Linked DNA regions of Callithrix jacchus. The protein of the gene in region 1 interacts with the protein of each later gene in a pairwise test. Links are inferred from orthologs where the notes say so. Each region holds a gene or a part of one and is shown in the gene's direction. Other genes may lie near its edges.

Evidence for each region.
Region 2: the proteins of KRT40 (region 1) and DOCK2 interact in binary tests that used the Homo sapiens proteins (3 or more experiments, as listed by UniProt). The two-hybrid records come from large-scale screens. The link is inferred for Callithrix jacchus from reciprocal best matches to the Homo sapiens genes KRT40 and DOCK2.
Region 3: the proteins of KRT40 (region 1) and FARS2 interact in binary tests that used the Homo sapiens proteins (3 or more experiments, as listed by UniProt). The two-hybrid records come from large-scale screens. The link is inferred for Callithrix jacchus from reciprocal best matches to the Homo sapiens genes KRT40 and FARS2.
Region 4: the proteins of KRT40 (region 1) and ATPAF2 interact in binary tests that used the Homo sapiens proteins (3 or more experiments, as listed by UniProt). The two-hybrid records come from large-scale screens. The link is inferred for Callithrix jacchus from reciprocal best matches to the Homo sapiens genes KRT40 and ATPAF2.

Annotation. Positions count from the first base shown.
Region 1 is NC_133506.1:92,275,932-92,280,175, forward strand, and holds the start of KRT40 (keratin, type I cytoskeletal 40), read left to right. Parts: upstream 1-1,444; 5' UTR 1,445-1,485; coding exon 1,486-1,932; exon of another isoform or gene 1,933-2,627; coding exon 2,628-2,710; exon of another isoform or gene 2,711-3,341; coding exon 3,342-3,498; intron 3,499-4,244. UniProt on the Homo sapiens protein: May play a role in late hair differentiation.
Region 2 is NC_133503.1:61,930,974-61,938,373, forward strand, and holds part of DOCK2 (dedicator of cytokinesis protein 2), read left to right. Parts: intron 1-3,220; coding exon 3,221-3,356; intron 3,357-5,743; coding exon 5,744-5,819; intron 5,820-6,771; coding exon 6,772-6,848; intron 6,849-7,395; coding exon 7,396-7,400. UniProt on the Homo sapiens protein: Involved in cytoskeletal rearrangements required for lymphocyte migration in response of chemokines. Activates RAC1 and RAC2, but not CDC42, by functioning as a guanine nucleotide exchange factor (GEF), which exchanges bound GDP for free GTP.
Region 3 is NC_133505.1:25,185,352-25,193,195, reverse strand, and holds the start of FARS2 (phenylalanine--tRNA ligase, mitochondrial), read left to right. Parts: upstream 1-3,073; 5' UTR 3,074-3,214; intron 3,215-3,621; 5' UTR 3,622-3,807; intron 3,808-7,844. Other genes in the region: LYRM4 (LYR motif-containing protein 4), read right to left, coding at 2,226-2,311. UniProt on the Homo sapiens protein: Is responsible for the charging of tRNA(Phe) with phenylalanine in mitochondrial translation.
Region 4 is NC_133506.1:69,115,489-69,123,373, forward strand, and holds the start of ATPAF2 (ATP synthase mitochondrial F1 complex assembly factor 2), read left to right. Parts: upstream 1-2,735; 5' UTR 2,736-2,891; coding exon 2,892-3,024; intron 3,025-7,885. Other genes in the region: GID4 (glucose-induced degradation protein 4 homolog), read right to left, coding at 1,989-2,426. UniProt on the Homo sapiens protein: Plays a role in the assembly of the F1 component of the mitochondrial ATP synthase (ATPase).

The DNA of each region.
Region 1 (4,244 bases):
GAGAGTTGTGATTTTTTTGAAAGTGTTTTTGAATCCTTGAACTTGTGTTTGTTGCAAAGCAGCATCAGCATACCATGAAGCACTCTAAAAACTTTTCTCATAAGTGTTGATGTGTAAAGAGAATCACTAAATTCAAACTCAACTCTGCCCAGGGAGTAAGAGACTATTTTAACTCACTTACATATGTTCTCTGGCTTGGTTTGGTTTGGTTTCTCTTCTCAGCTACCCAGGAAGCAGCACTCAAGATTAGGAGAAGAAATAAGTTTATTTTGGATCATAAATTTTTTAACTTTTTCAGATTAATGTGTTTTTTTCCTATAATGTTCTTAAAAATTCTAGAGGCAATTTTCTCTGTGCACCTTTGAAAATGAAATACATGTCATGACTAACGCTAAGCAAAGTGAAATAGATTGTACTTCATAACGGAGGTGAAATTCAAGAGAGAATCCAAAAAAGTCACACATCTCAAGCTCCTATCTGTCAGATTTGGCATCAGAGATTTCAACCAGTGGAATTAGTCATTTGGAACCTGAATAGAATTTTATTTCCCAAGTTCCAGTATGTTTATACATCTCAGAAGCAAAGACTCCTGTGGGTTCCTCCCTCTTTTCTGAAGTATAATCACTGAGGAATTCCCAAGGGACTAAAAGATTATAACTTAGAAAATTTATATTTCACTCTTATTAGGAATACAGGTAAAATTGTATGACTTATCTAAAAATAAGAAGTGTGGAGAAGGCAAGTTTCAGGAAGTCAAAGATCATAATTCCAGCTCTAACCAATATATATTTTAACTTACAGGAAACAAGTTATTCCTATCAGTTGTGTAAAGAGACTTTTCCATTTGTATGCAGGTAGACATGGTTTGTACACACACACACACACTCACACTCTTTAAACCCAGTATATACCTCACTTCTCCAGTCCTGTCAGCACATGCTCTAAGATCACAAAAAGCACTGGAAGATTGCTAACCACACTGACCATTTTTATAGTGGTGGACAAACAAATGAATGTCCTTTTATGAGCCGTAATACTAATTTTAAAGAAGACACAAGCAATCAATGCACAGAATCAAAATCTGTGGGAATATTAATTTCCTGATTTGTAATGAGTTGTATCTATAATTATTGATTGGCCAAATGTTCTCTTTCTTTTCTTATTCTGTCAAAAAGACAATGCTTCCTATGATGATTTTCTGAAATAAGTGTTTTGTCTTGCACATGGAAATGGTGTGGGCCCTGCTTTGGTAACCTAAAGTTATCCCCCTTTTATGAGGCATACAACTCTTCTTCAGTAAATAAACAACTCTAATGAGATGTTTGTATAAAAACCGGCACCATCAATGATGACGAAAACATCCGGTGCAGTCTGTAAACACCCATTTTGAGGGGGCGCTATATAAAACTCTCAGGAGGGAAGGAGTGTTTTGGAGTCAAGGCAACTGGTGTTTTGCAGCCAGTCTCTGTCTTTGCTTCTAGAAGGATGTCTTCTGACTGCTCCTCCACGCTCTGCTCTCCTGAGTCCTGTACCAGGGCTTCCTGTTGTGCACCTGCCTCAAGCTGTTCCATGGAGACAGCTTGTCTCCCCGGTTCCTGTGCTGCATCCCGATGTCAGACCCCTAGCTCCCTTTCCAGGTCTCTCGGGCTGACCGGTTGCCTCCTGCCATGCTACTTTACTGGGAGTTGTAGTAGTCCCTGCTTGGTGGGGAACTGTGCCTGGTGTGAGGATGGAGTGTTCACTAGCAATGAGAAGGAGACGATGCAGTTCCTGAATGACAGACTCGCCAACTATCTGGAGAAGGTGCGCAGCCTGGAGGAGACCAATGCAGAGCTGGAATCCAGGATCCAAGAGCAATGTGAACAGGATATCCCACTGGCATGTCCCGATTATCAGTGTTACTTCAACACCATTGAAGATCTCCAACAAAAGGTGCATGTCCTGTTGCCCTAGTGCTCCAGCTTCTCGATCTATGGTTTGCTTTATCTTTCTACTAGAAGGTGCTGTTTTACAGAAGGAAACCAAGAGAAAGGAGAGTTCTACAAGTTAATGGTACATAGGGAAGAGCACTGTGCTGGAAGTCGGGAAACCTCAGTCCCACCCCTAAAGCTACCCCTGATTACTGAGTAACTATAACAAAGTAACTTGTCTGTGGACTTTTCCTTCGTCATCTATAGAATGCAAAAAGACTGTGTTATATCCAAAATCGCTTTTGTATGTGACACTGAACATTTATATTATCTGAACACAGATCATGAAATGCCATCTTTTTAACCACCTAGTCATTTTCTTCTCTCCCTGATGAATTTCCATTATGGGAGAGGGTATAGTCATAATACAAACTACTGATGGAGAAAAACGTTAATGGCGTTCCACTGCCTAGGAATAGTGCAAAATGTCTTATGTTATGAGAAAAAGTGAACCTTTTTATGTCTCTATTTTGTTTCTGAATTGGCACTGCTTGTTTGCTTCATCAAGTGACACGGTGAATACGGAAAGCAGCTAACGGCCATTTTACACTTTCTTATAAAGACTTTCAAAGGATAACTAATGGCATAGCTGTTGGATAGTAGTTTATTTAGGTTTCTCTCAAAGAATACTTTATTAAATAAGGACTTTCTTCACAGATCTTATGCACGAAGGCAGAGAATTCTAGACTTGCTGTACAGCTTGACAACTGCAAACTGGCCACTGAGGATTTTAAGTCAAAGTGAGTTGAATTTTATTTAATTTATTTATTTTGAGGTGGAGTTTCCCTCGTTGCTCAGGCTGGAGTGCAGTGGCACTATCATGGTTCACTGCAACCTCCGCCTCCTGCGTTTGAGCGAGTCTCCTGCCTCAGTCTCCCAGGTAGCTGCGATTACAGACAGGCATGTGCTGCCATGCCCAGCTAATTTTTGTATTTTTAGTAGAGAAGAGGTTTCACCATGCTGGCCAGAATGGTCTCAAACTCCTGACCTTAGGTGATCTGCCTGCCTTGGCCTCCCAAAGTGCTGGGATTACAGGCATGAGCCACCACACCCAGGCTTAATTTTATTTTGAAAATAATTTATGGCGCTCTCTCTCTCTCTCTCTCTCTCTCTCTCTCACACACACACACACACACACACACACACAAACACACACACACTCTCTCTCTCTCTCACACACACACACAAATATTCTCTATATAATATCTTAAAGTTAAGAATGTCTTAAAAGCTTGAATTTATCATTACTCAGGAATTAAGAGAAATTCTGCATGTGGCTTCCTGAAATTCATATGTCGATCCTCCATGTATCCTCACACTTTGCACAGCATTCAACAGAATAAGTGTTGGATTTCTCTTTTGCTGTGAAAGGTACGACAGTGAACTGTCCCTTCGCCAGCTGTTACAGGCTGACATCAGCGGCCTGCATGGAATCCTGGATGAGCTGACCTTGTGCAAATCCGACCTGGAGGCCCATGTGGAGTCTCTGAAGGAAGATCTTCTTTGCCTTAAGAAAACCCATGAAGAGGTAAGGAAAGTGGCAACTCCGTTGAAGGACTCCAAGAGTGACATAGTTACACTGACAGATGATCTGTTGATGTTTGTGAATAGAACTAGGGCAGATGTTGCTTAAGCTAGACTAAAACTGCTCAAGGCATTATTACTGCTCAGCCTGATCATTCCAGTGTGTCTCTGAATTAAGATGTGAAATACCCCTGGCCAGTGCCAGACGAAGAAATCAAACTCTTCTCCTGCCCCTGCCTTTGTGGAGAAGGTGAATAACTCCACAAATGGCTTTCCTTGGAGGTTTTATGCCACTCCTAATTCCAATCCACCGGCTATAAAAATCAGGCTGAGAAACAGACTGTGAAGGCCATTTCAAAAAGAGAGAAAGACCCGTGCACTATCTGGACCAGTGTTTTTAAATATTCCACATTTATAAACTTTTAAAACTCATAAAATATAAAGCAATTGATATATTAATAAAGCTAGAAAATGAAAAGCTGAATGACGTAACAAATTACTTTGCTCTTTGAACATTTTTTGATGGCAATCATAGCTAACATTCATCGAGAACTTACTATGTGCCAGGACATTTATAAGTTAATTATATGTAGATTAATTCTTCTAGATCTCACAATAACCTTTGGGAGAAATGTCCAATTATTATGCCCATTTTACAGATGAAGCAACTGAGACCCTTGTAAGTGGTGAAAAGAGATTCAGCCTAGGCAATCTGAATAAAAATCTCACACTTTTACCCACTACTCCAAA
Region 2 (7,400 bases), on another chromosome or scaffold:
CCTTTGAGCAAATAAAAAAATTTTTAGAGAAGAGGGTGGAATGGAGGCTTACCTAGGAATTTTCTAGGTTTATGCAGTATATTAGTTTGTTAGGCCTGCCATAACTATCACAGCTCATGTAAACAAGAGAAATGTATTTTCTCACAATTCTGGAGCCTGGAAGTCTGAGATTAAGGTGTTGGCAGGGTTGGTTTCTTCCTAGGCCTCTTGCCGTGGTTCGCAGGTGGCTGTCTTCTCCCTGTGTCTTCACTGTGGTCTTCTCTCTTGTGTGTTTGCCCTAATGTCTTCTTATAAGGACACCAACCATACTCCCCAAACGACCTCTTTTTAACTTAGTTACTTATTTAAAGACCCATCTCCAGATGCAGTCACATCGTAAGACACTGACGATTAGGTTTTCAAAATATGAATTTGGGGTGTTAGGGGGGCAATTGAGACCCTTAATGTCTAGGAAGCTTTTGGGTACCAGGGCCTCTGTGGCTCTGAAATGCCTCTGAAAGGCAGCAATCTAGATATTTCAAAAATATGAAGAATCCTAAGTGAGGAGAGAAGGTATTAGGGATGGAAGTCATTATGAAGGCAGCAGGATTCGAGTTTTAAGGATGGAAAGGATGTGGATATGTAGAGGACAAAGAGGCAAGCATTGGAGGGGAGGTATGGGAGCAGTGTGGTCAGGAAGAAAGATCTAGAGTTGGAAGTGAGCATTGTGTGTTTATGGAGCAATAAAGAAATCTTGGTGACAAAAATAACCTACTTATATTCAGATAGTCATGGGGAATCAATGGGCTAGGACAGCTGGATACATTAGTCTAGGTCCTTTCATACCAACTGGAAAGAGTAGATAGAATAGGGTAGGAAATAGGGAGCTATTAATGTTGTTAGGGGGCGAGAAATGAAGTAATAGACTTGAATTCTCAAGATGAGTTTGTAAGAGATTTCAGAGTGGTTTGGAGGAAGGAGTCGGGTAGGCCACAGACAAGGTTGTTCCAACCATCTGGATGTGAAATAATTGGGATCTCAAATTCAAATGCCTGCAGAGCAAGGCAAGGGATACAGATGATGGAGGGGCTTTCTTAGCCTGAAAAGCAGATGTCCATTCCTGCAGCTGGTGGATGGACAGCCCTTATGCCAGTCAGGGCTCTCTGGGGAAGGAGAACCCATGGAATATATGTTTGAGATCTGAAAGGCAGGCTGGAAATTCAGGCAGGATTTCTATACTACAGCCTTGAGGCAGAATTCCTCCTTGTCTGGGAAACCCCAGGTTTTGCTCTTAAGACCTTCAGCTGGTTGGATGAAGCCCATGGGCATTGTGGAACATCATCTCCTTTGCCTAGTCAACTGGTTTTAGATATTAATCAGGTCTACAAAATACCTTCACAGCAACATCTAGACTGATGTTTGACCAAACAGCTAGGCACTACAACCTTGCCAAGTTGACATATAAAATTTAACCATCACAGTCCCCAAGCAGGAAGGTGTGGACCACACTGGGGCCTTGCCTTGTTCCCAGAGACATTACATAGCCCCACTCCCTTCCTCCTGTACCAGCGTAGTGAGAGGCTAGGGATGGCTGCTCTGCCTCAGCCCTGGATCTGATGTGAGCTGACAACTTGTTCCCAGAGCATATGCCCACAGGAGAATTAACTTGAAGGAGAAGAAACTGTTCCCTTTTGAGACCTGGCCCAGGGCACTCTGCTCTGATGGCAACAGCATGCTTTGTCATTTCTTCCCTAGCTGATCCTCACTGGCAGGGGGCCCCAGGATCACTGAAGCTTTTAGAATTGAGCAGACAGTCAGGAGTTCCCTCCTGCATGCCCTTCTGATGATAAGTGAGCTGTACTGTAATAGCTACAGTTATGGTCTTTGGTGTCAGGGTCTGGGTTCAAAACCCAGTCTCATGGGCTATGGTCATGACCTTGGGGACGCCTCTTAGCTTCCTGGTGCCTCAGTTTCCCCATCTGTAAAAGGGATGTAATAACTGTGTATACTTCAGATACTTCAGAAATCTGAGGGATTGCATATGATGATGCATGAATCACTTAGCACAGTGCATGAGACATGAGTACATTTCACTAGTTTTGGCTTTTCTAGACTCAGCTGAGCTGGGTCCGGTGGCTCATGTGTATAATCCCAGCACTTTGGGAGGCTGATGTGGGAGGATTTCTTGAGCTCAGGAGTTTGAGATCAGCCTGGGCAACATAGTGAGACCCCATCTTAAAAAAAAATTAACTGGGCATGGTGACTAATGCCTGTAGTCCCAGCTACCCAAGAGACTGAGGTGGGAGTATTATTTGAGCCCAGGAGATTGAGGCTGCAGTGAGCTGTGATCATGCCACTGCCCTCTAGCCTTGGCGGCAGAGTGAAACTCTGTCTCAAAATAAAACACAACACAACACAACACACACACACACACACACACACACACAAACACACACACAGATAGTTAAGTGCAGTTTCCTGACCCCTTGAAGTCAGATGTGGCCACATGCCTTACTTTAGCAAATGACATGTAAGCAAAAGTGATGTACATCTCTCCTGAGTAGATGATTTAAGAGCCAGTAAGTGATTTGCCACATTCCTTTCCCCTGATGCAGAGACAATGAAAGCACCTGCGCTGAGATTGAGCTGCCAGCCAGGGGCCCAGAGTAAGGAAGAGATGAGAGTCCCTACCCCTCTGCATTGTAGACTGCACTAGAAGAAAACTTCTGTGTTATAAGCTCTGAGATATTGGGGTTCTTAGTACCATTTTAACCTGACTGATGGCCACACTTTAGGTGTTCAGAAAATGGTAGCTGTTACGATTTTTCCCTCTTCCTTCTGCCTTCTCTCTCTGAGGTTCTGAGCAATGATGTGACTGATGGTATTACCCGACTTATCTGTAGCAAATGCTACTTTTGAATCCATCACCTTGCGTATGGAAATACCATCTGTACAGCTGATATTCCACCTCTACCCTTCTCTTGTCCTAGCATTTTGAGAGGGAAGACTTGGGATTAAACACTAGAGTTTGATGGCTCATTTTCCTTTGCAAACCTTACCTTGCTTATCTGTAAAATGGGTGTGAGAACCTTGTTTTTTCTACCTTTTCCAGGACTTACTATATGATTGGTCCGTGTATAGCGAGTATTACGGACACCCCTCAGAAATTAATCTTACTACTTGTCTACTTTTTTTTCCCATTCAGCACATGATGGGTAATTTTTAATTTCCTTCTCCACAGGATCTTGGAAACAAAGACCTCAACAGGGATAAAATTTACTTGATTTGTCAAATAGTTCGGGTCGGAAAGATGGATCTTAAGGATACTGGCACAAAGAAGTGCACACAGGGACTGAGGAGGCCCTTTGGGGTGGCAGGTAAGGGACATACTGCACCATTAATTTTTATTGCAGTATACATTTTATGTGGCTGAATTTTAATGAATATTTCTTTCCCACCCTCCTCCCCCACCCCTTCAAAATTTATGCCAGACAGCCCTTAATAACTATATTTTTGGTGACTAAATCAAAATAATTGGTGACTAAGTCCAGATTTATGATGAAAACAGTGAATCATGAGCTACTCTTGTCTGGAGCAGAGCATGGGGAGACCGATGCCGTCTGAGCAGTTGGTGCCTTTGCTCCCCAGCTCTGTGAAAAAGGAAAAACAATACAGGCAGGATCTAATTATGAGGAGCAAATCATTTAAAAAATATATCTAGGACAGGAAATGGAGTTACACAGAATGAGTCACCTACCACACATCGAAATTCCAGATGGAAACGGACATTTGAAGAGTTGGTGTGACCCGAGGCAGAGCTCATCATGAGGCTGCTACACAGCAATGTCAGCTCTGTATTCTTCTCCAAGCTTTAGCTCTCTTGGGGTTTCTAAGGCTTCATCCTTCTAGTCCTACTTTTATGGTTTTAGTTATATTTGACTACCACTTGCACTATAATTTATCTATATTTTCTTTTAATCAACCTACTTTATATAATGTATGTTTTTCGCCAATGGCAATTTAAATGTGTGAAAAACAGCAATTCGATATGCCAGTTTTATTCTTTTTATTAAAATATAAATTTTTAATAGTATATTATTTCTAACCCCTGTGTACCATAGCTAAGCTCAGTGTTACAGGTTTTTCATTTCCAGATGCTCTGATCTGTAATCACAGACCTGCTGATTCTCCAACTAGTCCCCTGGCACTGCTTGCAAAGTGGGGGAGTGAAGGATGTTTTACCGAGCTCACTGGTTTTTTTAACCTGGCACTGTGGCTAGCTAGCCAGCCAGTTATGTTGGGTAAGCGTTTTCCCCAGGGCCTTAGATTTATTATGTGCAAAATGAAGGACTTGCACCTGGTTAATTCATGAAATCCTCTACTGCTCTGATTCTACTTGTGGGGCATTTCTGACATCACAGTGTTTCCGTTAAGGCAGTGAGAATCCTTTAACCTTACTGCAAAGTGTGTCTTTGTCCTCAGCTGTAGTCTGCCCTATCTTGGGTGTCAGGTGACAAGATCTGATCTAAACTAGTAGAAAAAGAAAAAAAGGTACTTTATTAGTGTAACTGAAAGTCTTATGAATAGATTGCTTCAGGCATAGCTGGATCCAGGAACTCAAATCAATTTGTCTCTTTCTTGCTCCTATGTCCTCATGCTGGCTTACTATGAAGAATTTGTCTCTTCCTTGCTCAGCCCCTATGTCCTCATGCTGGATTGCTAATAAGATGGCTGTCCAGTGAGTTGGCAGATTATCAGCCAGCTGTTCCAAGCTTGCATTCTACCAACTTAGAAACCTAGTGGAAAGAATGTACCTCTTTCCCATTAGTTTCAACAGAAGTCCCAGGAGCTTTAATATAAGTCACCTGCTCATCTCCAGAGCATTTACTTTGGGCAGGGAGAGATGATTCTCTGGTCTGCCATGTCCTATGAACAACTCTGGAGCCGAAGGGAAATTGCCCTGCCCAAATCACAGCACTGAGGATGGATGAGGAGAGTCTGTTAGATGGGTGCTCAGTTTCTCCTCCTGTCTTCTCTGTGACTCCCTCTCTAACTAGATGCAGTCAGGGTTTATTACCGAAGCAATTTTAATGGTCCTCTATCCAGTGCCTGGAGTGTTTGAGGTATTTTCTGTAACTAGGGTATGGGCTCGTTGGAATAGCTTTTCTCAGCCCTCTCCTCCACTCCAATTTCTAGAATCCCCATTCCAGTGTAAGATTTCTTTACCTTGGTTTTGGGGCCTTTAGTGGCTGAATTAAGAAGAGGTTTCAAAGGATCCAGGATCCCACTGGAATCATAGGACTGGAGGATTCTACTGTTATGTGCCTGTACATATGAGTATGCTTATGAAAAAAGGGTGAATATTTCATGAGATTCACAGATCCTACAGAATCCCAATCACTGCTCTCCAGTTTTGTAGGCACTGTAGTCATTCAATACATACGTGTCAAATCCAAATCTGAATTCCACAGCCCCAGCTCTGACTCGTTTCCTTTGGCCTCTGTTAAGCCGTGGTGCTCTTGGATGCCTCCCTGGCCTGCTGACCTCCCAGTCTGCTTTGCCTAGAGGTATTTGCCCCAATGCTGCCTGCCAGGAAACTCTGATGCCTGTGTATTGTGCAGCACAGGATTGCTTGTCATTTTAGGCCCTCCTGACCCCCAGGCAGCCTAGGCCCTACCTCCTGTCCCGCAAGCTCATCCCACTGTCATCCCTTCCAGGGAGCAGGATGAAGTTAAACCATTAATTCATTCTCTCCTCTTTCTAGTTATGGATATAACAGACATCATCAAGGGGAAAGCAGAGAGTGATGAAGAAAAGCAGCACTTCATTCCTTTTCACCCGTAAGACATTTGCCATTTCTTTCCATTCTCTTCAACCACACCCTTTCTCATCAAGGGCTGCTGGAGCTCAGAGTGCACTGGTTCCCTGAGTTAGTGATAGGCAGGTGGAGCCTCCTTAGGGGAGTGCAGGGTGGAAATCATTGGCTCAGTGCCCAGGCACTCAAAACCAAACAGCTCTTCACCTATTCATTCATCAGATGTTATTTATTCCACAGACATTTATTGGCGGCCTGGCAGAGGCCGGCACTCTGCTAGGTGTGAAGGATGAAGTACTGAACAAGATGGACCCTGTCCTCATGGAGCTCATAGTATAGATGGGGAATTAAACAGATAATCAACAGAAGATTAAGCATTAATTACAAGTGCAGCGGAAGCCACGAAGCTGTGAAGCAGCAGAGTTTCAGGAGTGTGTGGCAGGGAATCCTAACCCGGCTTTTGTGGATGGATAGTCATATTCATGACTTAGGAGGAGGGTAATAAGGAAGGTGAATGTCCCCTCCTCTCCTGTTCCAAAAGGAGTCTTCCAGAAAGCAGGGGCCCAGTTTGAGAGCATCATTAGTACTTAATAACCCTATGGATGGGCTAGGTAATGAGGCTAGTGACTTTGCTGAAGATGTGTGATTACGACTTAGCAGGAGCAATTCAAGTCTTCGCTCTTGCTGAGCAGATAAGTATGTTGAAAGTTTTGGAATCCTACCATTTAAAGCAGATTCCTGGAGAAGAAAAAATGACCTCTACCTGTAGCATCGATATTCCCAAATTTCAGAACCACATTGCTTTGTGATTACAAAGTGCTGTGCCTCATGATGGCAAGTATATACCCTGAGCTGACACACGCAAGCTCACTTTTCACCTAAGGCATGTGGAGGGGCTGGGGAGCTCCCTTCAGGGGCTCCTTAAAACACAAGTGAGGGCACCAGGTGCACATTTCATACTCTCTTTTCCTTTCCAGGGTTACAGCTGAGAATGACTTCCTACACAGCCTGCTGGGCAAAGTCATAGCCTCCAAGGGGGACAGCGGAGGGCAAGGTATAGTGCTAACGTGCCGATGGACTAGGCTTGCTCCAGCTTAGGAGCCCCTGACTCTTTAGCAAGTGAATCAAAATCCTGACCCCTGGGATACTTAGCTTTCCTTTCAGACAGACCACTGGGAAGAATGGGAACATATGATCTATAGGGATAGAAGTCACATCTCCTGAAGCAAATTGGAGGCATGTCCTTGTGCCCAAAAGAAGAGAGGAACTGATACACCCTGGATATCTCCTGTGTTCCAGGCACTTTAATAAGTTACCTTGTTTGATTTCATTCTTACCCCAGGCCTGTGAGATAGGTGGTATCCTCACTTTGGGTTTAGAGAAGTTGGGTAAGTTGCCAGAGGCTGACACTGCTAGAAATTAGTAGGATTCAGACCCAGAGATCTCCTGTTCCAGGCCTCGTGGGTTGGGTGGCTGCATCTTTGGTTGTATGACTCTGTTCCCAGTGATCTCCAGAAAGACAGAGGAGAGAAGTGGTGGGAAGGCAGACTGAGAGAACACTAGGAAAAGTGGGCTCTTCACGGTAAGCTGTTCCTTTCCAGGTCTC
Region 3 (7,844 bases), on another chromosome or scaffold:
AAACCTAAGTTTTTAGGTCCATGATCTCAGGCAACAGTATAAAATGATTACCAGACTCCTTTGAATAATACATTTATATTTGGGTAGTAAATTTAGCTGAAAATTATATGTTTAAGTATAATTTGACCAATTATTTTCTGAATGTATATCATCTTACAGTTGTCCATACTGAAAGCCATTTTCAATTTTCTGCCTTTCAGGTACAGCCTTGAATGATTTTCCTGCAGTCTGAATAATTTTCCTGTTGAGTTTCTTGAATGATTTTCCTGTTCAGTTGGCAACTACTCATTTGAAAATAATTGGGATTCATTTGCTCATAAATCACTTCCAAAGAGAATTTCAGAAATAGAAGGGTCCTTAGAGACTGTCTAGTCCAACAGTCTATTTCACAAACAAGAGCTCTGAAAAACAGAGATTGAGTGACAAGTCCAAGTTATAGTCTTTGAGGGTTCCACCTTGACTTTCTACATGCTCTCACATAGACCCTCTCCCTGCCATTTTCTTTAGTGTGTGAACTCCCTGCTGGTTCCAAGTCCTTAGGTATCCTCAGTCTAAATAACAAAGTATCTTCCTCCAGACTATGGTGAAATCAAATGGTTTCTATGTATATAACGTGCATATTTCATGTGTTCCCTCAACAGACTTGGTTAAGTACTTGGTGCTAGGTGTTTGTTTAATCTTGCTAAAAATTCCACCAGTATGCCTATTATTACACTCATTACTCTCCAAAGTCAAAGTCATTAAGTAAAATCATGTTCTCCGGTGAAATTTAACCACTTAACTGGGTGGATACGACTTCAGGGGTATGACCTAGATGCTGTTCTCAAATTTGCAGAATGAACATGTTTTCTAAGCAGGTTTCTAAACATTTGAGAGTCACTGCTTAAGAGGCTTACTGTTCCTTTCTTCTGACAGAGGTTGTTCAGGTCGGTCTGCCAACTCACACACCTGGTAGAGGGGAGCCTACCTAACCAGGTGTGTTCCAAGGGTAGGCTCTGCTCCTATGACATCCAGTCCATAGGCTGGCCAGTCACCTAAGTGAGGCTTGGGGTAAAGACATGATTGATCGAGTCAGATTTTTTCTCAGGGGAATATGGCTTAAAATCAGAGAGGAGTAGCAGTTAGTCAAAACCAAACCAAACCAAACAACACATCTGAAAAAAATGCAGAGAGAATCCATAAGGAAATGATGGGTCAGAAGCAGCAACAAAGTGAAAGTAGAGGTTCTGAATTAGAAAAAACCATACAGGCCGGGCGCGGTGGCTCACGCCTGTAATCCCAGCTCTTTGGGAGGCAGAGGCAGGTGAGTCGCTTGAGTTGGGAGTTTGAGACTAGCTTGGCCAACATGGCGAAATCTCGTCTCTACTAAAAATGCAAAAAATTAGCCAGGCGTGGTGGCGGGCGCCTGTAATCCCAGCTATTCGGGAGACTGAGGCAGGATAATCACTTGAACCCCGTGGGGCGGAGGTTGCAGTGAGCTGAGATTACGCCGCTGCACTCCAGCCTGGGCAGCAACAGAAAAAGAATCATAGGCAAATAGGGGAATGGTGAGGCATGTAAAAAAGTGAATGTGTTATATTAAAGATGTAAGAGTTTAGACCCTCAGTGTCCTGCTATCAAGGTCAATAAGCAGGATCTGTCTGGTGAGCCAGGATAAACTGAGGTTTCAGCTCCAAAGCCTGTGAGGTCCTTTTTCCTTTACCGCTAAGCCTTTCCATCGTACCCTAAATAGAACGGATTTGATTCTGGCAACCAAAAGAACTCTTTACGACACCTGGGAAACTTTAGGGAGGTGCTAGCGTGTGCCTTAAGCTTTTTAGCTGTGTGCTACTCACTGGCCATTTCCACGCTCTAGGGAAGTTTTACGTATGCAACATATTGGCCTTAACTTCACCAATGGCTGATTTCCATCTTTTTTTTCTCTTCTGCAGAAACATAACACTAATCATGCTCCGAGAGCACCAACCAAGGTAGACTTTAGGGGGAAAACGTTATAAGACGTGAACGTCTTCCCTGGTAGAAAGAAGAGCAAGCCCTCCGCTCCTCCCCGAGGTCTCAGAGGCCACACCTGCAGGCAGGAGCACGCTTTTCTATGGCGGAACCCGGTCCCTTTCTCGCGGCCGCCGGCGCAGGACGGTGGTTCCAAGGACATTCCGCGGCAGCCCGCGCCCCCGGCCCCCGGCCACCGGCCCCCGGCCCCCGGTCCCCGGCGACCGCCGCGTCACCTGTAATTGTAGGCGCTGAAACGCTTGCTTTCTCTCAGCATAGCCCGGTACAGATCTAACACTTGTGCGCGGCTGGAGGCTGCCATTTTGGAAAGAAAAAAACAAACGGGTCCTCTTCGGAGAGGTCCCAAGTCCAGCCCAACCCACGGAACTTCAGCCTGTGCAGAAACTACGAACGAAATAAAGTGCGGCGGCTCGGCCTTGCCAGCTAGGCGGGCACCCCTGAGGACCGCAGACGGCACCCGGCATCCCGGGCCTCTTCCAAGGCGGGCACAGGCAGGCCTCGGGGCAGCTAAGGGGGCGGTGCCTGGAGGGAGGTGCCTCCGCTCCGCCCAGCCCCCGGCTGGAGGCTCTGGACCCAGCAGCCGCTCCAAGCGGCTGAAAGGCGGGGAAACTAGAGGCCTGGCCGTCGGGGCATCCAGCCAAGCCCCTGGGGGACGAAGATCGGAGGCGCGAGCATCCGAGAGAACTGCAGTTGCACCACGGAGAGCCTTTGCGAACCGTCCGGGGTCTTGGAGGGGACATTTGTGTTTCAAGGCGCAGCGGCCCTTAGTACCTCCAGGAGGCTGCGTTGCCAGGGTTACCGAAGGCCGCCGCGCCGAAGGCCCGCCCTTGACCGCCGATTCCCCGCCCCCACTGGCTGCGGCCGCCCTCAGTGCTGCCTGAGAGGCCTTGCGGGATTTCAAGGGTGACTTGACTTCGCCCGATCCTGCTCGGCTGGATGGGGTTTCATGGCCTTCTCTATGTTGGGAGGCGCGATGTCTGGGTGTGGAGGTGATGAGCCAGGGGTTCTGTGGTACTCCGGCGCTGCTCAGGGCGACCTGCATAGGGGCCTGCGGGACAGGCCCGCTTTCTGTCAAAATGGCGGTGCCCAGCGTACAGGGGTGTCTCTTCAGTTGGGGTTTAAGATTCTTGCCCTGAGAGCGAACTAGCCTGCCACGCTTCCGATTTTGAAACACTTGGGTCTGGGTTTCCCGGGAGAGCGGTGGGTGAGTGCCGGCCTCGTTGCAGCCTGGGGTGCGACGTGGGCAGTTGGTGTGGTAGGGGGTTTACATTGGCCGTGGATTTTTTTCCTCTTTCCTGATGTGGATTTGCTTTTGAGTGAAGTGTCCCCGTGGTTTTGTAAACTAATAAATTTGTAAAATGCAGCCTGGCTGTAGACCTCGGAGAATAATTAGAGACCTTTAGGGGTTTAGGTATTCTCCAAGAAGCAGAGCAAGTTTTCTCCCATGGCTTGACCTAAACTTTTTTGAATTACCTTATTAAAGTGGTGGATAAAGTTGCTTGTTCTAATTTTTGAGCATGGGACTGGAGGCAGGGAAGCCTCAGCCAATTCTAGTACTGTGTTCGCAAAGCAATTTTCTTATTTTTGGAATCTTGCTTTACATAACCTTAGGAAGAACGACACCTTTCTGCATTCAAGCACAGTGAGGAGTACCTTTATACGTAAAAACAAAAGGGCTGGACGCAGTGGCTCCCGCCTGTAATCCCAGCACTTTGGGAGGCCGAGGCGGGCGGATCATGAGGTTAAGAGTTCAAGACCAGACTGGCCAACATGGTGAAACCCCGTCGTTGTGACATGGTAAAAGCCCCATAAAGCTGCATACCTCAACCATACCTAGGCTTTGTGTTGAAACTGCTCTCTGTAACCCTGATGTGACAGGCAAGCAGTCCAAACCCACGCCATCTTGGCCCCTGCGACTTGTAATAAGTAACTAAGGTCTGTAATTTCCACCCATATCCAGACAACGTGTAAACTAACACTTATCTTGACTTCTGTAAACCGCTTAAGCCACAATCGGAATATCCAAAGCCCTCTGGCCCTGGGAATGTCCGGAGCCCCTCACTCTCATCTCCGCCCCAGAGGTAATTTACGGAATCCACTGGCCCTTGGAATGTCTAAAGCCCCTCACCCTCACCCCCAAGGTGGTTTACAGGCGTAAAAGTTCTTGACACCCTCCTTTCAGGGCCACGGGTTGGAGAGACGAGAGTCCTCCGTGACCGCCGGCAATTAAGACCCTGCAATTTGGCATACTTTTGTCTTGGTGTTAACTTTCTATGCTCGGGCCAGTACAACACGCTACTGAAAAATACAAAAATTGGCTCGGCCTGGTGACTCGTGCCTGTAATCCTAGCTACTTGGGAGGCTAATGGAGGAGAATCAGGGACCTGGGAGGTGGAGGTTGCAGTAAGCCAGTTACAATTGTTTCAACCTATTAAGGAATTTAATCATTAATGTATATAATTAATGTATCTAAATGACTCAACTTTGTGGTAATCAAATAAAACTTCCAAGTAAATATGTATAGTTTAGATAGTTTGGGTAGCCTTGTCCTCTGTTAGTACAAGCAATGGTTGCAGTTAGGAAAGCGATAGCTTCCCAGTTAATTCTGAGCCAAGTCTTCACAAAAATACCTCATTATTTTATTTAAAATGGTTTACCAGTTTGATGGACATCATTGCCTTGAGAGGCTAATAGAAAATATTAATTCAAAAGCTACATCTCACTTTTGCATATCTTTATTGTGGAGATGCCTTTTTTTGTTTTTAAAAAAGAAGAAAGTAACTCTATTTGAGACTGTAAGTAGAATGGGCCAGAAGCTGAAGAATGGACCATACCCATATGTTCCTTAACATGCATTCTGTTCTGGGTTGAAATTTTTCTTAGGGAATATCTACAATAGGAGGTACCATTTAGGAATCAAAACATAAAAATTTCTTTAGTATTCGTTTTTCGTTTATCCAAAGTTATCAAGTAACTATAGTTCTTTATGTAAAATCTTGTATTATCTTCTATTAAAATTAGGGTTGTCCATGACCACCTAGTGCTGTGTGAAGAGAAATTTCTCAAATCATAATAAACAGCATAACAACAATTTACTGTCCTGAAGCTTAAATATCAAAGTGATGTATGGAGTAAAATTTGTATAGAAATAGTAACTTATGATATTATTTAGAAATTATTCAGGTGGGCATGGTGCTGTACACCTGTAATCCTAGCACTTTGGGAGGCCGAGGCAGGTAGATTACTTGAGCCCAGGAGTTTGAGACCAGCTTGGACAACATGGCAAAACCCCATCTATACAAAAAAATACATCATAGCAAACCTCATCTCTACACAAAAAGTACAAAAATTAGCTGGGAGTGGTGGCAGGTGCCTGTAGTCCCAGCTACTCAGGAGACAGCGTGTAGTCCCAGATACTCAGGAGACTGAGGTGGGAGGATTGCTTGAGTCCTGGAGGTCGAGGCTGTGTTGAGCCATAATCACGGTACTGCACTATAGCCTGAGCAGCAGAGTGAGACCCTCTCCAAAAAAAAAAAAACCAAAAGAAAAAAAATTATTCTATCCTACACCAGACATGAATCTAAGTATTATACATTGATCCTTCATTTTAATAGAATATGAAGGGGGAAGACCTTATATATCAACTCATTCATTTGTATAGATGAACAAACTCAAGCCTTCCTCATTCCTTCCTTCCTTCAGCATTTATTGAAGACTTCGTAAGTACCATAATTTATTATTTTTTTTTGTTTTTTGTTTTTTTTTTGAGACGGAGTTTCACTCTTGTTGCCCAGGCTGGAGTGCAATGGCGCAATCTCAGCTCACTGCAATCTCTACCTCCCGGGTTCAAGCGATTCTTCTTCCTCAGCCTCCCAAGTGGCTGGGATCACGGGTATACACAACCATGCCTGGCTAATTTTTTGTATTTTTAGTAGAGATGGAGTTTCACCATGTTAGCCAGGCTGGACTCGAACTCCTGACCTCAGGGGATCCACCTGCTTTGGCCTCCTAAAGTGTGGGGATTATAGGTGTGAGCCACGGTGCCTGGCCAATAAGTACCATAACATATGAGGACAAAACTATAAGATGACATAGTTACAGTGATGAGAGCCTCCCCACCCCTAAGAAACCTGTAGGTGATTAGATAAACCAAACAATAATTTATAGAGACAGGTTCTCGCTCTGCTTCCTAAGCTGGAGTGCAGGGGTATGATCATAGCTCATTTAAACTTCAAACTCCTGAAGTGATTTTCCTGCCTCAGCCTCCCAAGTAGCTAGGTCTATAGGCTCATGCTACCATGTCTGGCAAATTAGAAAACTTTTTTTTTTTTTTTTGGTAGAGATAAGATTTCACTATGATGTCCAGTATGGTCTCAAACCCCTCAGTGCATTTCCTGCCTTGGCCTCCCAAAGAGTTCAGCTTATAACTATAAAGTGTGAGCCGTGGCACTTGGCCAATAATTTCTTTTTGACAGTTGCTGTGATAAGAGCAATAATTTAGCAAATACTAAAGGAATACAGAAGAGGAATATTGAACTAGGACTTTCACCTAAGGGAAGGCTTTCCATCATAGGTGTTTCTAGAATGAATAGTAAGAGCCAGATGAGGAATGTGGTTAAAGATTGTATTGTATATTCCAAGCATGGAGGCAGAAGGGTGCTTGATCTATTTAGAGAACTCTAAGTGTTTTAGGATGGTAGGAGGTGGGAAGGGAGGGACCGCAGAAGTGGTTAGCCCTGCACTAACTTTATTTTAGTGATGTTTTTCCTATTTCTGGAATAAATCATTTCTTCCATTATGCATTGGCTGAGTCATATAAGTATAGCTTAACAGCTGAGCTGTTGAAATGGAAACTATTTATTCAGGTATGGATAGCCTTTTGTTTCAGATCATGAATTTGAATCCTATATTTGAGAGGCAGTGAAATTTTATTTGTGCATTCAAAAGATAGCCGGCAGCCTGGTAGTTCAAGTTTCTGTTCTCGCAATGATAACTTGAGGATGATGTAGAAATCAAACATGGATCCCGTTTTCCAGAAGTTTATACTTTAAATACATTTGTATATAATTAAAATAAGGAGTAGGAGATATTAGGTTGGTGCAAGAGTAATTGGGGATTTGACCATTAAAAGTAATGATCAAAACTGCAGTTCCTTTTGCACCAACCTATACAAAGTGCTTCAAGGAAAGGGCTGGTGAAGCGTCACTGGGTCTCAGTGTAAGAAGTCACTTCCATCCCTTATGCTTGGGCCACACCTCAGACCAACAGCAGGGCTGAGGCCCAGGCTTCAGAGATTTTTGTTTAATTGTTTTTTAAGTTTCCTCCATGATTGGGTATAGCCAGGGCTGAGAAACACTGATATGAAGGAATCAGGAGGCTTCATGGAGGAGGTAATGTTTGTATTGGGCTTGAGAAGATTTAAGTTTCTTCTGGGCCTTGAAAGGAATTGAAGGATTTGAATGGGTGTGTGGTGGTAAGATGGCTACTGTAGGTGGAAGACGATTTACGCTTTGCCTTGAAAGGGTGAAGAGAAACCCTGATTGAGGTCTAAGAGAAAAACACTCATGACCTGGGAGGGGCTTTGGCCAGATCTGTAGAGTGCATGAGGGTGAGAACAGGGAGATCCCATGGAAATGTGATACATGGACTTTCATATGTGTTAGGCACGAGATGAGCTGAGTCCCAAATGATTTGAGTTAATCTTTCCATGACTCAATAAAAGAGCTGTTATCTCCATTTAAGAAAAGTGAAGCTGGCCCGGTGTGGTGGCTAACATCTGTAATCCCAGCACTTTGGGAGGCTGAGGAGGGAGGATCACTTGAGCTCGGGAATTT
Region 4 (7,885 bases), about 23 Mb from region 1:
GTTGTAAAAGGCAGAAGTATTTTGTGTCTAAGAAGGCTGTATCTGAGAAACTAGTCCTGACTGAAAAACCAGCTGATGGGGCAATTCACATACCACTAAGTAGTCGTGATGATGACCAAGCAGCTCCCCAATCCAGATGTAGGGCAGCATTCCTTGGCATGACCACCATCCCCACCAGCAGACTTCCTACTCAAGTGGCTCCCAGCCATCTGCCAGGTTTCTGCTCTGAGCTGCCTGAGACCTATCAGCCCTGTCCCAACTCAATCACCGCTTCCACTGGTTCACGATTCTCCTTCTGACAGGAGCTCAGAAGTGACACCCAAATGACAGAAGGGAGCAGTAGTTGCTGCAGTTGTCAAAGCAGACTCCCCTTTGACACCTGGCTACCCTGCCAATTATCCCCTACTACATGAGAAACCATCAAACTCAACAATGGGGACAAATCCAACACCATCCCAAACATGACCCACCCTGGGTTCTCACCTCCAGAATTCTGATTAGGTGCAAAACAAACCGAAATGATGTTCACATTTTAAGAAAACAAGAAGAGGATCACCACATTAGGCATATAGTTATGAAGACAAAAATATTTCAACCACAATAGTTTTTCCATTATAATAAAGATTGTGGTTCATGTTAGAACTTTACAGACCAAAGATAAAATTAACATGATGATGCTGTTTCAAGTAAGCAGAGAAAACTATTTACTCCCACACAGCAGTATGAGAATGAAAGAGTGATGCCTGCTCTGCAGATAGCAGAAAGAAAAGGCACCCTCATTGTCTTTTGAATGGGATACCTACTCTTCAGAAGTAAAACTAAGATTTAGAGTTTTAACCCGTCAAAAGGCAAGCTTGAGGAACAGATACACTGTACATTTCACCCTCACACCCGGGGGGCAGTATTTCAGCTGGCAAAAAGTGTCAGGCCTGAGAGGAGTGAGGTGTGGGAAAGGCCCACACAGGTGAAGCTGTACTTCCAAGGCTGATCAGGAACTGGCAGCAGGTATTCAGGAATCCAGGTCAAATGCAGGGAGGCTGCTGGACATGAACTAAAACTGGGTGAGTTAGATTTCCCAGTACATGGGTCTCAGACACTGGGAGGAAGCCCTGTGCCTGTGTAGAGAAAAGTTAAGAACAGCAAACAGGGTCCCCTGGAACCAGGATCGAGCAAGACGAAGATATGGGGTGGGGAATCTGGACAGATGCCAGGAAGATTAGAAGACTGCAAGTGGTCCCAGAGCAGGGGCAGGAGGCTGGGAGGTGGAGCAGCTGGAAGGGGCTGGGTGCCTGGAGCATGAAGAGAGGGAAGCAGCGAGTGGAACAGGGGACCCAGGAGGCAAGATCCCAGCAGACTGTGAGCAGCACTCAGGGAGTGAGTGTCTGGTCTTGAGGTGGGGCCAGGGCCTGACCAATCAGTGGTGCGTTTGGTGTTCCCCCGTCTGAGGGGTCTGATGAAGCCCTCCTAAGGAGATCTCAGGAAGAGGAAGCCCCCAGGGTCTGCGGATTCCTGGGACTGAGGAAGAGGCGGGAGGGCAGGACTCAGTTCTGAATCTGACATGGGCCCAGACACGGGGAGTGTCCAGAGTCTGGTGAAACCAATGGAGAGTTCTTCAGGGTCTGAAAAGGGCTCGTGGCAGTCCCTGATGTAGGGACGGCAGGTCATGAGGAGGGAGGACCCGGGCCTTCCCCGAGTCATGGGGGCTTCCGGATCCCGGACCGGCCGGTCACCGGCTTCAAGTCTGGGAGAGTGTTCGGGGTCCGCCAGAAGCGGGTCTTGACGGGCTCTGGATCTGAGGGGGCAGGTCAGGGCTGGGGCTCGGAGAGTGTGAGGCACAGGCTGGGCAGGTCCCGGGTGGGAAGCGCCGGGTGCAGGAGGCCCCGGCGACGAGGGCCTGCTCCGCGGCTGCCGGCTCGAGGAGCCGAGACGGGCACGGCCCGTGAGCGCCGCGAGGAGGCCCTCGGGCCCCGGCCCGGCCCGGCGCTCACCTGCAGCACCACCTCTACGTCGTACGAGTTCCCCTTGCTCTTCTGGTGGCCGCGGAACTTGGAGCCGCTGTAGAGCAGGCTGGTGGCCACGCCGGGCTGCTGGGTGTTGATGGGCGGCGGCGGGATGAGTGAGGCCGCGGAGGCAGCCGAGGCACCGGCTGGCGGGGGACACTCGGTGCGGACCGGCATCGCGGGGTCCCCCGGAGCCAGGGCTGGGGGGAGTGGGAGAGGAACCGCCGCCGCCGCGCGGGAGCCAAGGAGGGTGGCTGGGAGGGAGAGGCCGAGGCGCGCACGCGCAGGGTGGGGGCGGGAGGGGCGACCACCCGTCCGCTGTATGCAAACTAAGCGCTTCGGCCGCCACCGCGACCCAGGGACCTGAGAGCAGGGCCTCCCAGTCCTGAGCTGGGTCCCCCTCCCGACTTGCCCTCGCGCACACATACACACACACAGACACACACACACACACACAGACACACACACACACGCACGCGCGCGCACGCACAAACACACACCCCGCCCCTTCCGATTGGCTCGGGCGAGCCGGTGAGGGCGGGAACAGGTTTACACGGCGCTTCCACCCATTGGCGGGAGGAGAAAGCACGTGGTGGGGTGCGCGAGCGGCCCGCTGGGACTTGTGGTCTTCTCGCTGAGGCGCGGCGTGGAGGGGGCGGAGCGAGGCGCGTTTGTGATGCTAATTGACTGGGGGTGTGCGCAGGAGGCGTGCGGCGGCGACGGCACGCCGTTGGTGTCATGTGGAAGATGGCGGCATCCAGGGGAGGCTGCGGGCTCTGAGGGGGCGGTGAGAGGTTTCCGTACAGCCCGATCGTGCGGCTTTGGAGGTCCCTTCGCTCCGTTTCCTGCTCTAGGTTTCACGCTGCGCATCCTCCCAGACTATCGGGCGCGATGTGGAGGAGCTGTCACCGGCTGCGGGACGGGGGACGCCGCCTCCTGAATCGGCCTGCGGGTGGCCCCAGCGCTTCTAAGAGTCCGGGGCTAACCATCCTGTCTCCAGCCCGGGCTTACGCCCCGCCGACAGGTGAGGCCATGAAGGGCCGAGCTGGGGGTAAGGTGGAATTCGGACTTCTGCTGTGCAGGGCGGTGTGACTGAGGCAGGGTTCAGGCTCATGAGGTTATGCAGGCCAGTCGGGTCCTTTTACAGACGAGAAAGAGAAGCCCAAACAAAGGCAGACGACCCGAGGGGGAACAGCGCGTCCTGCACGAGACATTAATTGATATTTGGCCTGGGCAGCTTTTCTCAAAGCTTATGGCTGCCCTCTCTTTAATGAGGAAAGCAAGTGTCATCTTTGTTTTCCAAAGGGGAGGTTTGGGCCCTGAATCAGAACTTCGCCTAGGTTACAGAGCAGACTCGGGTTTCTGGAGTCTGACTGCTTTCTATGTCTCCACTGCCCAACATAAGACCTGCACAGAAGGGCCAAGTTCAATCAGTCCTCCATCCCGGGCACTTTAGCTGCAGGTTTCCTGACTTTCCATCCTGTGCAACCCCTGCCATCTGCAGCCTTCTCTCTCTCCTAAATAGAAATTGACACCTCCATCTCTGATTTTGGAATCACCTCCACCTCCAACTCTGATGAAGCTTAGAAGTTGTGGCTCTTTTGTTGCTGATAGTGAGTGGTGTTAGGGTGAGAGGGCAAATGACTCATTTCAGTGAAGGAAGAGCAGTAACACCCTCCCGCCACCATTCAATTACTTTTATTGTGCTGGGGGCAGGAGGCGCAGTAGTCTTTAAGACCCACCTGTATGTATTGGTAGAGAAGCTCAATTAAAGAAGAAAAGGCCCACCTGAATGATGTTGACTGTTCAGTGAAAAAGGTTATAATATCCTGATTAAACTATGGTTTATAATATCCTGATAAGGGACATACAAAGAAGCTGTGAGGACACGGAGAATCACCTACTCCCATCTTAGGGATGTTCAGAGTCTAGAACAAGTCTTGGGTGAAAGGCCATTTAAACTGAACAGTGATAGATGAGTAGGAGTTCAGCAAGGAGGTGGAAGACTGTTGGGTATCTAGAACATGTCCAGGGGTGACAGCAAGGTGTGAGGGACTTTTCCCTAACACTGCCTGCTTTAGAAAATCCAGAATTTCACAAGCAGTTTTGGCCTTGTGGCAGAAGTGGAAATCTAGGATCTGATGCTGGCTGAACCTCTGAGGTCTGTGTGATCTTGGGCATGTAACTACTTCCTCATTTTTCTCTGTGAGTTGAAGTACGATGTTGCCTTTGAGGGTCTTTCTGGCTGTCAGATTCTATAACTTTATAGAAATGGGGAAGGTGGCTGGATGCAGAAGGGTGCTGAAGTTTCTCCTGTAGGACTTGGGGGAAGGGCCAATAAAGAAGAAGAAAGGACATCCCAGGGAGTCCATAGCAAAGGGGACACATTCAGGAGTTCACCAAGTTGGAAAAAGCAAAGGGTTAATTAATTACTTTATGTATATATTTATTTATTTTGAGATGAAATTTTGCTCTTGTCTCCCCTGCTGGAGTGCAGTGGTGCAATCTCAGCCCACTGCAACCTCTGCCTCCCCAGTTCAAGCAATTCTCCTGCCTCAGCCTCTGGAGTAGTTGGGATTACAGACATCCGCTACCACGCCCAGCTAATTTTGTATTTTTAGTAGAGACGGGGTTTCACCATGTTGGCCAGACTGGTCATAAACTCCTGACCCAGGTGATCCTCCCACCTTGGCCTCCCAAAGTGCTGGGATTACAGGCGTGGGTGGGTTACCACGTTTGACCACAAAGGGTTAATTTAGATTCGTGGATGCTGTCTTTATATAATGATGGCACTTGATCCTACTGTTTTGTTTTCCTTTCCACTGCAAACTTACTAGTTTAGGCTCTTGGAAGTACCTGGCACATGATAGGTAGTCAAATGTGAAAGAAAATAGGAGTGAATGAATGAATGAAGAGGAAGGTGCATAAATCAGGTCCGTGTGTGCTCTACAAAGACCTTACCAGTTGTGAGATATTTATGTGTGTTTGTAGTAGAAGATTAAACCCAAGTAGGTTCTTCTCAATAAACACTTCAGTTAGCAAGCTGATTGAACTTGGCTGCTTAGGAATGGCCATGCCATTGAAGATCATCAGAAGGAGAAGAAGAGTTTAGGAAAGGGTCACTGAGGTGTTGGAGAAGGAGATACTACAACAAGAAGACCTATGTGAGTGGTTGTGGCAGTTCAGTTCTGCACCAGCTTGTCAGAGGTCTATTGACTTCCCAGACTGGGAGGTGTTCTGGAGAAACCTATCTAATCAGCATATCTGAGTGAATGCAACTGCCTAATGAAGTCAAGGCTAGAAGTCTTGTCTCTGCTATTTACTAGTTGTCATCTAGAGAAGACGTTAGGTTCTCTCTCACCTCCGAGGCATTAGCTAACTGCCTTGTCGTCCTCATAGGATAGTGGTGTGGATTGAGGAAGATTGTGTGGTCTGTAGATCAGGGTCCAGCCTGCCACCTGTTTTTGTAAACGAAGTTTTATTGGAACACAGCCACATACATTCGTTTACATATCATCTATGGCTGCTTTCACTACAGTGGAGAGTTGAATAGTTGGAACAGATATTGTATGACCTGCAAAGCTTAGAATATTTACTGTCTGATTCTTTACAGAAAAGGTTTGCTAAATGTGTAACATTTCGCCTGAAGGATTTTTAACAGCTTTATTGAGATATTTACTTGCTTTACAATTTCTTTACTTAAAGTGTAAATATAATCGTTTTTAGTATATTTACAGAATTGTACAACCATTGCCACAATCCATTTTAGAACATTTTTATCACCCACAGAAGAAACCTATACTCTTTTTAGCTATCATCCACCCTTACCCCTTCCATCTCTTGGCAACTACTATTTTACTTTGTTCTTTTATAGATTTCCCTGTTTGGAACATTTCATATAAATAGAATGTGGTCTTTTTTGACCCTTTTTTTTTTTTTTAAACATGGAGTTTCATCTTGTTGCCCAGGCTGGAGTGCAATAGCACGATCTCAGCTCACCACAACCTCTGCCTCCTGAGTTGAAGCGATTCTCTTGCCTTAACCTCCTGAGTAGCTGGGATTACAGGCATGTGCCACCACACCTAGCTAATTTTGTATTTTTAGTAGAGATGGGTTTCTCCATGTTGGTCAGGATGGTCTTAAACTCCTGACCTCAGGTGATCCACCCACCTCAGCCTCCCAAAGTACTGGGATAACAGGCATTAGCTACCGCACCTGGCCCTGACTTTTTCACTTAGCATAATGTTTTAAAGTTTGGGTTTTTTTTTTTTTCTTTTTCTTTTAAGAGATTGGGTCTCACTCTGTTGCCCAGGCTGGAGTATAGTGCCACAATCACAGCTCACTGTAATTTCAAACTCCTGGGCTCAAGTGATCCTCCTGCTTCAGCGTCCCAAGTAGTTAGGGCTACAGGTGCACACCACCATGCCAAGCTAGTTTTTTAGTGTTTTGTAGAGATAGGGTCTGCTCAGGCTGCTCTCAAACTCCCAGCCTCAAGTGATCCTCCTGCCTCAGCCTCCCAGAGTGTTGGGATTACAGGAGTGAGCCACCACATCAAACATTTTTAAGTTTTATCTACCTTGTATTATGTATCAATACTCCATTCTTCTTTATTGCCAAACAGTATTCCATTGTATATGTAGACCTGCCACATTTTACTTATCCATTCATCTGCTGGTGGCTGCAGGGTGATTTCCACCTTTTGGCTAGTATGAATAATGCTACTATGAACATTCAAGTACAAGTTTTTGTGTGGACGTATGTTCTCATTTCTCTTGGGTATATACCTAAGAGTAGAATTACTTGGTCAATTGGCAACTCTCGTTAACTTTTGGAAGAACTGCCAGACTATTTTCCAGGATGGCTGTGCCATTTCACATTTCCACCAGCAGTGCATGAGGGGTCCAGTTTCTCTACACCTCAACAACACTTGTTATTATCTTTTTCATTATAGCTATCCTAAAGGGTTTGAAGTGATATCTCATTGTGGTTTTGATTTGCATTTCTCTGATGAATTATGTTGAGTATCCTTTTACGTGTTTAATGGCTATTTGCATATTTTCTTTGAAAAAATGTCTATTCAGAACCCTTAACCATTTTCTTTTTTTTTTAAAGAGATGGGGTCTTGCTCTGTCACCCAGGCTATAGTGCAAGTGGGACCATCACAGCTCACTGCAGCCTCAAACTCATGGGTCCAAGCAATCTTCACACCTTAGCCTCCAAAGTACCTGGGAACTACAGGTGTGTTCCACCATGCCCAGCTAACTTTAAAAATTTTTTGTACAGACAGGGTCTTGTTATGTTGCCCAGGCTGGTCTCCAACTCCTGGTCTCAAGCGATCTTCCCACGTCAGTCTCTCATAATTGACTATTTTAAAATTGGGTTATTTTGTTGTTGTTTTTGTTGTTGACACAGGGCCTCACTCTGTTTCCTAGAGTGCAGCGGTGTGATCATGGCTCACTGGAGCCTCAACCTCCCAGGCTCAGGTGATCTTCTCACTTCAGCCTCCTGAGTAGCTAGTACTACAGGCAGGTGCCACCATGCCTGGCTACTTTTTGTATTTTTTTTTTTTTTTAGATGGAGTCTCGCTCTGAAGCCCAGTCTAGAGTGCAGTGGCATGATCTCAGCTCACTGCAGCCTCTACCTCCCAGGTCCCAGTTCAAGCAATTCTTCTGCCTCAGCCTCCTGATGAGTAGCTGGGATTACAGGCATGCATCACCATGCCCAGCTAATTTTTGTATTTTTAGTAGAGATGGGGTTTCACCATGTTGGCCAGGCCGGTCTTGAACTCCTAACCTCATGATCTGCCTGCCTCGCCTTCCCAAAGTACTAGAATTACAAGTGTGAGCCACCGCGCCTAGCCTAATTTTTATAGAGACAGGGTTTTG